Saccharomyces cerevisiae S288C: one gene and its partners. The protein of the gene in region 2 interacts with the protein of the main gene of each other region in a pairwise test. Each region holds a gene or a part of one and is shown on either strand. Other genes may lie near its edges. The genes, in order: PIN3, GYP5 and LSB3.

Evidence for each region.
Region 1: the proteins of GYP5 (region 2) and PIN3 interact in a two-hybrid assay, tested with the Saccharomyces cerevisiae proteins (2 studies listed by BioGRID).
Region 3: the proteins of GYP5 (region 2) and LSB3 interact in binary tests that used the Saccharomyces cerevisiae proteins (3 or more experiments, as listed by UniProt).

Annotation. Positions count from the first base shown.
Region 1 is NC_001148.4:833,031-835,849, forward strand, and holds PIN3 (Pin3p), read left to right. Parts: upstream 1-1,534; coding exon 1,535-2,182; downstream 2,183-2,819. Other genes in the region: URN1 (Urn1p), read right to left, coding at 1-428; MAY24 (May24p), read left to right, coding at 659-663, 798-1,215; NCA2 (Nca2p), read right to left, coding at 2,533-2,819.
Region 2 is NC_001148.4:76,014-81,151, forward strand, and holds GYP5 (GTPase-activating protein GYP5), read right to left. Parts: upstream 3,341-5,138; coding exon 656-3,340; downstream 1-655. Other genes in the region: 60S ribosomal protein eL36 RPL36B, read right to left, coding at 211-226; galactose-responsive transcription factor GAL4, read right to left, coding at 3,698-5,138. UniProt on the Saccharomyces cerevisiae protein: GTPase-activating protein which accelerates the GTP hydrolysis rate of YPT1 and SEC4. Involved in ER to Golgi trafficking and polarized exocytosis.
Region 3 is NC_001138.5:201,457-205,340, forward strand, and holds LSB3 (Lsb3p), read right to left. Parts: upstream 1,978-3,884; coding exon 1,931-1,977; intron 1,837-1,930; coding exon 504-1,836; downstream 1-503. Other genes in the region: PES4 (Pes4p), read left to right, coding at 1-253; HIS2 (histidinol-phosphatase), read right to left, coding at 2,287-3,294.

The DNA of each region.
Region 1 (2,819 bases), 760 kb from region 2:
ACTTCGTCTTGATTTCTTTTAAATAGATGAATCTCTTCGTTGCAAGATTCGAGGATTTTATCAATGTCCTCCTCCCGCATAGTGTAACCTCTGGCAACGCCAATCAGAAGAACCAGTTTTTCCTTATCTAACGACTCGATTAATGAGCGACACCTGCTGTCGTCCTCTTGACTGATGTCATTTTTGAACTCCTTAGAGTCATCATTAAAGTAAAGTTTTGTACCATCGTTGTATATTATTAAGTGCCAACCATTAACCAGTTCTAATGAAAATGTTGGCTTCCTCTCTGTCTGTGATTCTTTCGCATTGCTTTCTAGGTTAGAGCCTTTCTTCAAATTAGGTTTTTCCCATCGAGACTGCTTCGTGTTCTTATTATAGTAATACTTTTTGCCTGCAGGTGTCTTAAATTCCTGCCATTCTCCACGCATGGCGATTCTGTGTTACTGAACTGTCTTTCTCTTTATAATACATATCAGAATCTCTTTCGGACACTATTTCCTCTTTCTTCAATTATATTGTTTTCTCTTTCATTGCCGAAGAAAAAAAGAAACATACTGAAAGTTGATAAATATGCAATAATAAAACCTTTTCCTACTCTTGACGCTTCTGTATAAGATAAAAACTGCCAACAAGATCAGTTCCAACTTCCTGCCGTATTATGAGGTATGTTATTCATTACCAAGACTATATCCGCCACGGCTGGATGCAGGCATCGCTCCCTGTGGCTTAAGAAAATAATAGGCACAAAACTAACAATAAAAACATCCACTACTCTGTCGCATGTTCCCTGTGCTCAGATCATTCGTAACAAATAACGATATACCTGTTGGATATGTAACGCCAAAATTCCCCTCATTATACTGGCCCATCAACAACTCGAAGTATAATACTGCATTCTTATACTATATATCTGACATTTGGAAATTTTCGCTGTACTGGACTTTGATCTTTAATGGTGCATTTTACGTTACTGCTGGTGTGTATGCTAGCTTGACCCATAGAAAGAAGGCTGGAAGTGTATGGATATTCGTCATGTACGTCTTATACGGAGGCGTTCAAGGCTTGACGACTGGTACAGTTATGGGGTTTTTAATAGGTGCGATCTATAGATCTGGTTTATTTTCTATGTCTACATGGGTCCCACTTTGTTGCGCAGTAGTCCAAATCCTTTTCGATGTGGTGCTAAGTTATTCCATGGTTGGTTCCGTTATGTGAAAGCTTCTGTCAAGAAAAAACAAGAAGGGGTTTACTGATTTGATGATAAAAGTTAGCAGCAACTTTTGAATGAGAATGTGCCATCCTTCACGTAAAGAGCCTAATACTCTTTCTTCAAAGCGCTAGATTGTTCTAAACGTTTCTTTAACTATTGTTTTCGTTCGTGCAGCGTGATTAACCGAGCCTCCTTCGAGGCGGGGATGGATATTGTAAGCTGCATATATAGTCGAACCTCAAATCGGTTGAGACAATAGGCAAAGTGCCCACATTGGCGCAAACACAAGAACATTAGGAAAGAAGGCAATCTGATATTTCAAAAATGTCTGCTTCATTGATTAATCGTTCCTTAACAAACATTAGGACAGAACTGGATTTTCTAAAAGGGTCAAATGTCATTTCAAATGACGTTTACGATCAAATAAATAAGAGCTTGCCGGCAAAATGGGATCCTGCCAATGCACCCCGCAACGCCAGTCCAGCTTCCTTGGAATATGTCGAAGCTCTTTATCAATTTGATCCTCAACAAGATGGTGATTTGGGCTTAAAACCAGGTGACAAGGTCCAACTTTTAGAAAAATTATCTCCAGAGTGGTACAAGGGTAGCTGTAATGGCCGTACCGGTATTTTCCCAGCAAACTATGTCAAGCCAGCTTTCTCTGGGTCTAACGGTCCATCCAATCTTCCACCACCTCCACAGTATAAAGCTCAAGAATTACAACAAATCCCCACGCAAAATAGTGCCGCATCATCTTATCAACAGCAGCCATTTCCTCCACCTTCCACAAATTATTATCAGCAGCCTCAACAACAGCCGCAACAAGCTCCTCCTCCCCAACAACAACAACAACAACAACAACATCAGAGCTCACATAGCCACTTGAAGAGCTTTGGTAGCAAATTGGGTAATGCCGCCATTTTTGGGGCAGGCGCTAGTATTGGGTCAGATATTGTTAATAATATCTTTTAAGTCGTTTTTCTCTTTATATACTTCATTCATTTGTTCTCCATTATGGCCAAACCTTTCATAAATTGAACGAAGTTCTACCTTTGGTGTTGTTATCCCTAGAATTTTTTTCTAATGAGTATGAATTTAAGTAACCTTTTTTTTTCTTTTTTTTTAAACAGATATATCGTATATGGAGGATAATAGTACATCACTTATGATATGAGCGAGAAAATCTGTCTTTTTAGTAAAAAAGTATAAAAAGTAAAAAGGCGTCGATTTTGCGTTGATTTCTTTATATTTACGTCTGTACAAAAAATACATTAAGAATATATTCAATATCTTCCCTTTCTTCTTCCCCAGCAGGCTATACGCTAATGGATTAAAAACCTGCCATATACGTGGTATATCCTGTTGACGACATTTATATGAGCTCCGGAGTCAAGATTGGTATCCACCAGTTCCTCAACGTCCCTAAACCATTCTTTCTTTCTTGAACGCGGGATCAAAAAACTTCCCAATTTGTATAAGTTAGAAACCTCAATCACTAGTAGACCCTGGTTTAAGTGTTCCTCATCGGCGTCCGCACCTTGTTTAGAATAATTCAAAACTCTTTCCACATTATTCAAACTTATACTTATTTGCTCCCTATACCGTTTTT
Region 2 (5,138 bases):
TTAGTAACAAGCACACTAGTACTCACGTAGTATACGAGCAAAATAAATAAACAAAGACTCCACGGAGTACTGCAACGCTGGGTGCAGGATATAAACGATGTTTGCATATCTCTGGAGCTTAATCTCATCCTGTTTGTATTTCTGTTGTTGGCTTAGTGGTTCAGTTCATTTTGCTTTTGCTCTACAGTTCATTAGTTCAGGTAAACATACCAGTCTTGACAGCCATTTTGTATTATCCTTGCTTCTCTATTCTGTTTTGACTATGGTAATACACGAACTTAAGACTTAACGCTAATTAAAACGAATATTCAAGAAATGCAATGATGTGCCTCTTCCTCTGCCTCTCTCTCTCTCTCTCTCCTAGTGCATTCATGCTAGCTTCCCTCGTCGGGCTTCCCTGAACAGCCTTGGTTGGCAACCCAATGAAAAAGTTCCGCGCACGCGGTATGTGCGTCTTTCGCAACCAGACCTCTCGGTCATGGTCGTCTCCCGCACGGTAAAGCGGAAACAAAAACCCAACACATCCGTGGATGTACGGGTGAAAATACAGTCAAAAAAAAAACAACAACAACAACATTGTCTAAACGAGTCGTGATGCATTTTTTAACACAAATTGGAGAGGCACACAATGTGCACACAGCGCAAAACTATACATCTATTTAAAAACTTTTTTAAAACCAGTCCAGCCTTTCCTCCCTTTAGCCTTAGAATCTCGTTCCAATAACGATGCCGTGGACACTTGCTCCTTATTGATGTTAATCAACTCATCGATTTCCGCTTGCAGTTCAGTGATTCTTTCCTCTAATTGGCCGTTCTCCCTCATCACCTCATTGTTCCTGGATATGGTCCTTTCCAAGTCTTCTCTCAGATCTGCCTTTGGTAGTGACGCGTCCGGGTTCGGTAAATTTTGCTTGCGAATCTCTTCCTCAATTTGGCTTTTGATATCAGTGATTGTATTTATCAGGTCGTTTTTTTCATCCAACAGCATCTCCATATTCAATCTGTTCTGAATCAGCTCGTTAGCGGCGCTGATATTCTCTTTGTTCAAAATTGAATAGTCGTGTTCTAGCTTCTGCGCCTCTCTTTGTAGTTGGTGGTTTTGAATTCTTAGTGATTCGTAGTGGTCCTCTTTTTTTTGCTCTTTTTCATGGATTTCTACGTACTCTCCCCTGTATCTTCTTAATGTTAATGGTGTGATATATACACCTGTCATTGCATCATGAACGAAAAGATCGACATTGTAGGAAAAAGTGCCGTCATCATTGCCCTTAAATGAGTTCCCATTTGACAATCCCATTTGCACTACAGAAGCGTCATCCTGGTTTCCCATTAAATAGTAATTGAAGAGTTCGTCCTTTAAAAAATCCAATAGTTCATCGAATCTCAATTTTACTAAAGTTTCTTCATTCTTTAACATTAAATTTACAGCAAACTTCAAAAGCACTTCAATACCCTCTACGAATACAATATCAAAAATTCTTAACACAAACTCTAACGGAAACTTGTATGCGAAAAATGTCAAAAACCATTGTGTAGCGTACATTGTGGAGCTAATTCCCTCACGGATCAAGCGATTGTACAAAGAAGGTGAATGCTCCTCTAATAATCTATCAAATTGATAAAGCATTAACATCAGCCCAGGCATTCCTGGTAAGAAAAGCTCTCTTAATCCATAATTCTTCATTAATCCAACGAGTAGTCCAAAAGATTCGGCCTCGTTTTCACAGTTTATTAATAGCGGCGCTGCAATGAACCCCATGCCTTGCGTGTACCCAACATCTGGATCATAAACAGAATACACCTTTATTACCTTGTATAGTGACTCCATTTTGTCCTCGGCCACAAACTTCGTTCTCCTTAAATCTCTACGTATTGTTGCTTCATGAAGACATTCGGTATCCAATAGAGTTTCATATATATCTTCCATTTCTCTTGATTTGGAATTCGCCATCAGCTGCCAAATGATACCTCGAATTTGTGGTGGTATCCCATTGGTAACATGGGCTTCTAAATTTTCTGGTTCGTTGCTTGCCACTGTAGCATAATCATTAACTACTTGAGTCCAGAAGGACCAATCAATTTTAAACATTTCTCTATCTTCTTCATTAACATTCTCCACTTCGTTATACTCGGACAAGTTCTCCAGAAATGACGTAAATGTCGATTTTAAAAAGCTTTGACCTTCCTGCAACGACTCTCTAGTTTCTTCCCCCTCTTTATTCAAATGGTGACTGGTCTTGCGGTAACGACTAGCGATCAAATTAATTTCTGCAGTGGACTCTAATTGCGCAGTTTTGGAACCAGTGAGAGGAACATGATGATAACTATTTCTTTTAGTTTCTTCGAAGTTTTTACGGAACTTCTCTGACTTCATTTCTTCCTCTAGTGGCGGTGGAACAGCATTCTTCGTCTTCGGTGGTTGTTCCCTTTGTTTGCCCCTTGGAGGTAATTTTGGTGACGTTGATGTCGCAACATTTTGTCTAGGTGGTAATGGTGGCGAAGATGTAGTGGGAATTGCGGAAACCTCGTTCTCGCTTGAGTTATCACCTTTTTCATTTATGATTTGTGTGGGTATAGGTGGTACTTTCCTAGCAGTTTCTGAGGAAAGATTCTCTGCTGTTACGGGCCCATCTTCTATAGCAGCTTTTTGTTCCTTGTTTTCATTCAAGTTTATTCCTGCGGCTACCTCATTGGTAATATGAATCTGGTTATTATCATTTTCTGACGACCTTTCTGGGGTTACTTCACTACTTATAGAAATGTCGTTCGCATTTGCAGCTGTCGTAGTACCAGATTCGTCATCGAGAAATTTACTCGAGGATGATTTCTCACCTCCAGAATTTTTTCCAGTTACTTCCCTATTTTCTGGACTACTAACAACCTCTTTCGTATCAGCGTAAACCTTCTCATTCTCTTTGACTGCATCATATTCTTTTTCAATATTCAGCCCATTTGGGGCTTGCACATCCGTTGTCACATCTTTTTCAACATCCAATGGCTCATTTAAATCAATTTCAGAACTAGGTTCTCTCGTTTCTTGCCTTTGTTCATTAACGTTTTGTTCAGTGATTTGGGTGTCTTCATCACCAGAGATCCCAATAGGTTCTTCTCTTGATACATTTGTGGGTGCTTCATGGCCTAAACTTTGTTGCTTGTCATTTAGTTCTTTGTCCGAATGGAGGGGCTCAGTTGGAATTATAGCTATCTCTTCATATTGGTCTGATGGCGTTGATTTTATCTCTTCCTCCATTGAACCCAAATTATTCGAATGATTATCACCTTCGTGAACTTCAGAGGCGATCGTATCTGTATTTTTCTCAATAGATTTGTCTGAAGACATTGCTCTATTAACGTTCTACTTTACACTGGTGGTAGGAGCTGTTTTATTTTGAGTATTAACTAATCAATCTCAATTACGTTCGATCCAAACCCTTTTTTTTCGTTATATGAGCGAAGCTTCTGAATAAGCCCTCGTAATATATTTTCATGAAGAATTTAGGTCCAAAAAAAAGATGGGCATTAATTCTAGTCATTTAAAAAATTCTATAGATCAGAGGTTACATGGCCAAGATTGAAACTTAGAGGAGTATAGTTACATAAAAGAAGGCAAAACGATGTATAAATGAAAGAAATTGAGATGGTGCACGATGCACAGTTGAAGTGAACTTGCGGGGTTTTTCAGTATCTACGATTCATTTTACTCTTTTTTTGGGTTTGGTGGGGTATCTTCATCATCGAATAGATAGTTATATACATCATCCATTGTAGTGGTATTAAACATCCCTGTAGTGATTCCAAACGCGTTATACGCAGTTTGGTCCGTCCAACCAGGTGACAGTGGTTTTGAATTATTACCATCATCAATTTTACTAGCCGTGATTTCATTATTCATGAAGTTATCATGAACGTTAGAGGAGGCAATTGGTTGTGAAAGCGCTTGAGAATTTGTTTGAGTTGTTATGAGGTTCGGACCGTTGCTACTGTTAGTGAAAGTGAAGGACAATGAGCTATCAGCAATATTCCCACTTTGATTAAAATTGGCGCCACCAAACAAAGCAGACGGGGTCAGTGGCACTAATGATTGCAGCTGTTGCTGTTGCCCTAGAAAAGGCGTGACTGAGCGATGCGAAGGTGTGCTTCTTGGTATTGTCACTGGAGAGTTACGAGAGGGTGGACGGTTAGATAACAGCTTGACTAGATCACTGAAACTTGCTCCTGATTTCAATGGCACAGGTGAAGGCCCTACTGAGCCAGGAGAAACATATTTAACACTGATATTGTTGACATTTTCCTCCGGAAGAGTAGGGTATTGGGCGATAGTTGCAGAACCGACAATATTTTTAATGGCGCTACCATTACTATTGTTATAACTGATATGCGGTAATGGGATTGCACACTGTGATAACAGAAACGGCGCACATACCTCTTCCAGTACTTGAATGTATTTTTCACAAGTCTGGATTTTAAAAGTGGCCAGTTTTTTTAATAGCATCAGAACAGTGTTAATTTGTTGTAATAATTGTGCGGTCTCGTTATTCTCAGCATTCGATTTTGAGTTTGAGAGTAGAGTCTTTATGGGTACTAGGACTGCATTGAACAAGTAATAAGAACAATTCCAGGCAAAATATGGGGTGACATTATGATTGTCCATATAGCTACTTACAGACATAACAGTTCTTTGTGCTGCATCGCTTAACATGATGGAGCATCGTTTAACTTCATAACTTTGATGATCATTTTGATCCTGTTCTAGTTGTGACTTTTTCTGGGTAAAATTAGTGAAAAAATCTCTTAATACATAAATGATAAGAGACAACTGTTTCCACTTCAGTTCGAATCTTGTAAAGGATAGCCAAGGGTGTTCCTTCAACAAATTGGTTAGAGCGGTGGTGGAAATATCCATTTGTAAAAACTTTGGTGCCTGTCTCGAAACCTCCTCAATCTCATTACAAATCATCAAGCATTTTTTTGCACATATAGGACTTTTTTCTGCAGTTACTGTTTTGTCTAGTTCATAGATTTTTGTGAAAACTTGTAAGAGCCTTGCTGTTTCAATGATGCCATGATATATGGTGGGACCTGTTGTGGTACGCTGCACATCGTCGACAGAAGAAGGGAAGGAGATTGTATTCTGAGAA
Region 3 (3,884 bases), on a different chromosome or scaffold from region 2:
AAATTTCAATAAGAAAGTTTTGGAAACATTCGAAAAGCAAGTAAGAAGAGGTATAGATTTCATGAGATTTCCAAGTGCCACTAGAGACGAAAATGTGCACGGAATAGCTGAGTATATATTCGACACTTATTGGAATCGCGATGTGTTAATATTGGACAAATTTTTATCGTTGCTAAATAGTAGTCCATATCATGAAGGTGTATTGCAAAAACAAATTGAAGAGGCTGCAAGCTCGTTAGGATTTAAAAGATGAATGTCTCTTTGTTAATTTAGCTAGAGTTTTCCTTATTTATTTTTTTTATTTACACTAATTCAATCTTTTTCGTTATATTTAGATATTATTAAAAATTATTATTATGGAAAAAATTCTTAAAAGGATAGACAGAGGGACGCCGTCTGCTATATGATATGTATTTAGGTCCGAGTGCTGATAAACTGTAAGGCAAAAGGTATAAGTGTAAATCAATAACGTTTCTCGTATTCTTTACTCTCCTTCAAATTTTTTAAACTAGTTCAACGTAATTTGCTGGGAATATACCTTCTCTACCGTTGACTCTTCCGGTCCACCAGTCATTTTGAGAATCTGATTTTTTCAAAATTGTGATCACGTCACCCTTTCTGAATGGTAAATCTCCGGACTCTTCTCCTGCAAAGCTATATAATGCCACGGCCTTTGGAGAAGACGTGGATGGGGATGTTGGAGCAGTGAATCTGCCCTGACTAGTTTGCGGTGTTGAAGCGGACGAGATTCTAGATTTAGAAAATCTGTTCGACAAGTCATCGACTTCACGGTCTTTTGTCCTATCTCTTCCATTCCCGCGTCTATACCCGGATTCATAATCATCATCATAATCATCGTATTCATCATCAGCCCAACGATTTCTTGAAGAACGAGCCCTTGACTGAGCAGTTCCTGATCTTCTGTGGCTGGCATAATAACTTGAAGCTCCAGATGGGTCATCCAATTTACCACCACTACCGCCACTGTTGGTAGGAGCCAGTCTTGAATTCCTTGAATAGCCAGTACCATAATCATCATCGTCATCATCATCGTCGAACGTATAACGAGAACCGCTTTGGGCTCTTCTCCTTGTGGATCTTGTGTTAGGTCTAGTGGAGGAAGCATCTGTAGAACTGAATGAACTAGGAATGTCATTATAGTAATCGTCGTCGTCATAGTAATCGTCTTCGTCGTCATCGAAACTGCCACGACCACCGTTGGAGGGTCTGTAATTAAACGCCCTGGACTCTAAAACACGAAACAATGGATCAACTGCTGGAGGCGGTCTTATCCTACCAGACAAAATCATTTTCGCGGTACAATTGTCACCATAAAATTTTCTGTTAGCCTCTCTTCTTTCTATAATAGCCGAACCTTCCACAGAAACCCCTGCAAATAGACCTTTACTCTTAGAATAGGCAAAAACTGCAGCCACACCACCGGCGGAGGCTGATGCAGCTGCTTCTGCACTTCTACCAAGAGGCCCAGCAGAAACGGAGACGTTACCACCCAACGTGATGGTCCCAAATTCAGAAAACGACTTAACAGCATCCTGAGTATTTAAAATGAAAACAAAATCAGTCAATTCTATACCAACCATCCCACCGGCACCAGCACCTGCCATGGCAATGGCAGATGGAGCTGACCAAGTACCATCCTTTAATCTTGCGACAATCACACCAGAACCAGCTCTACCTGAAAATAGAAAACCTGCTTTTAAGATCGTTATGATAGCCAACCCTTTAGCTCTTTTCAAAACGTCTGGAGGAATGACTTGGTCCGCACCAAAAACTTGGTTTGGTTTGACAAAACTAGCCAAAATCTTCGCTGCTTTTCTTTATTAATTGTTTATTACTAGTTAGTAAATGATGAACAAATTAAGGGAGAACTTTTTTAAAGGTTTCCCAGCCAAACCCGTATAAAACATACTTTGTCTCACTCTTTAAACTCCTTGGAATAGGATTGTTAATACCCATTGCGTGTGATACAGCTTTTGTTTTTGATTTCTTTGCCACCCGTGATCCAAAGCCGTTCTAGATTTCTTCGATAGTTTATACTCTTTCATGTTGAACTTCCAGATGCGGCCGAGTCGGCGAGCAAACAGGGTGCTGCTACTAAACGAACAATAAAGAAAGACAATTTGGGCACCCAATATAAAATGAGCAGTCAATTCAATCAATTCAGTGTGAAATTTTTTTCTTGGAAAGATCATTCACTTCTACACAGCTGTACATGAGTTTATATGACAGTTTTTTTTTATGTACATCCAGTTCAAGATAATCAGATTATATATTGGCCCAAAAGGGATCATTAACGAATTGCGAAATGGGTAATCTCTTTACAGTTAACAGATTCTCTGGTGATTGGCTTTCCTCAAGGTAGCAAATATACTCTAATTGTAGCACGTCTACTATGTATTTCTTTACCTTGTCATAGCACACACCCACTTGCGCCACGCCGTGTGCGTCATCACTTAGAACAAATCTGGATCCACAGTGCTTCTTGACCAGATTACATAAGGTTTTGCTGGGGTACGGCTCCTCGAGGCGCTTTCTTAATGCGGACGTATTGATTTCAATTGCGCCGCCATAGGAGTCTATAAATTGTAAATTTCTTACAACTGCATCGTATATTTCTGGCCATTCACTGATGACGTCCAGTGAAGCTACAGGAACTCCGGTTTCTTCGTTGCAGTTGCCCGATTTCTGGTTTACTAGCATGTCATTGGGCAAAAATAATTTGTAAAGGTCGAAGTGACCCACGACCAACGGTTTAATATTGATCAGCATTTCGTACTGTGATTGGAAGTAAGACAGGAGAAAATGTTTCAAATTATCATTGAAGGAATGCAATGAATTGTACCATTGTTGTTGGTCGAAATCAATAGGGATCCCGTTGACGTGATGGACCGAACCCACACAAAACTTCAAAATATCATTATTCTCCTTCATGAGTCGCTTTGCATATTCGATATGAGCCATGTCACAACTTTCGATCTCCATTCCTATAATGAATTTAGTCCGCACATCGGGTCTATCAGCATAACGAGTCTTGATTTCTTGCGCATGACTCATGAAATTCTTGAACGATGTTTCTAGCTTGGTTATGACTTCCTCAGGATTCTTGCCCAATGACTGCTCTTCGGGGTATATAAACTTGGCCTCAATTCTTGGTATGTGCTCTGTCAAACAGTACGTGTGAAAGTTGAGGTTGACCACTTGATCGACCACGGAATCCAAAGGGTCCGTACCGTGGGCACTATAGTCACCGGAGTGTGAATGGTGTGAGTGCATGACCTCGAGGATTTTTACTGAATTGTACGTATCAAGAAGTACTAAAATGTGTTTGAAAGGGAAAGATTGTACGGGAAATGGAAAATGTACATATAATATCCAGTATCATTTGAGTTGATAGAGATTATCTCTATAGATAGAGAGATTTGACAAAAAAAATAAAAAAATTTAAATGGACGAGTCCGGAATCGAACCGGAGACCTCTCCCATGCTAAGGGAGCGCGCTACCGACTACGCCACACGCCCGAACGTTTGTTGAAATCTTCCAAACAGAAATGATACAGGTTTACTTTACAGCAAGACATTAGTAGTTTCATTAGCTTATCAACATGTATGAAACCGGCAAGATTGAAAGCTTGATTGCCCTTGACGAGCTACTCAAATGTGTAAATATCTGCACAATCAGTTTACACTCATGTTTCCGCGCTTTTACCCTCCATCTAGATTAAAATCTTATATGGATTATTTGGGATAAATAGCATTTAGTAAATCAAATTGATAAAAAAAAGAATAGCATTTAGGTATGCAGAATATACTAGAAGCTGTCCTCACTGATCCTGAATCCAAAAAAGAGAATTCTACGTAATAAT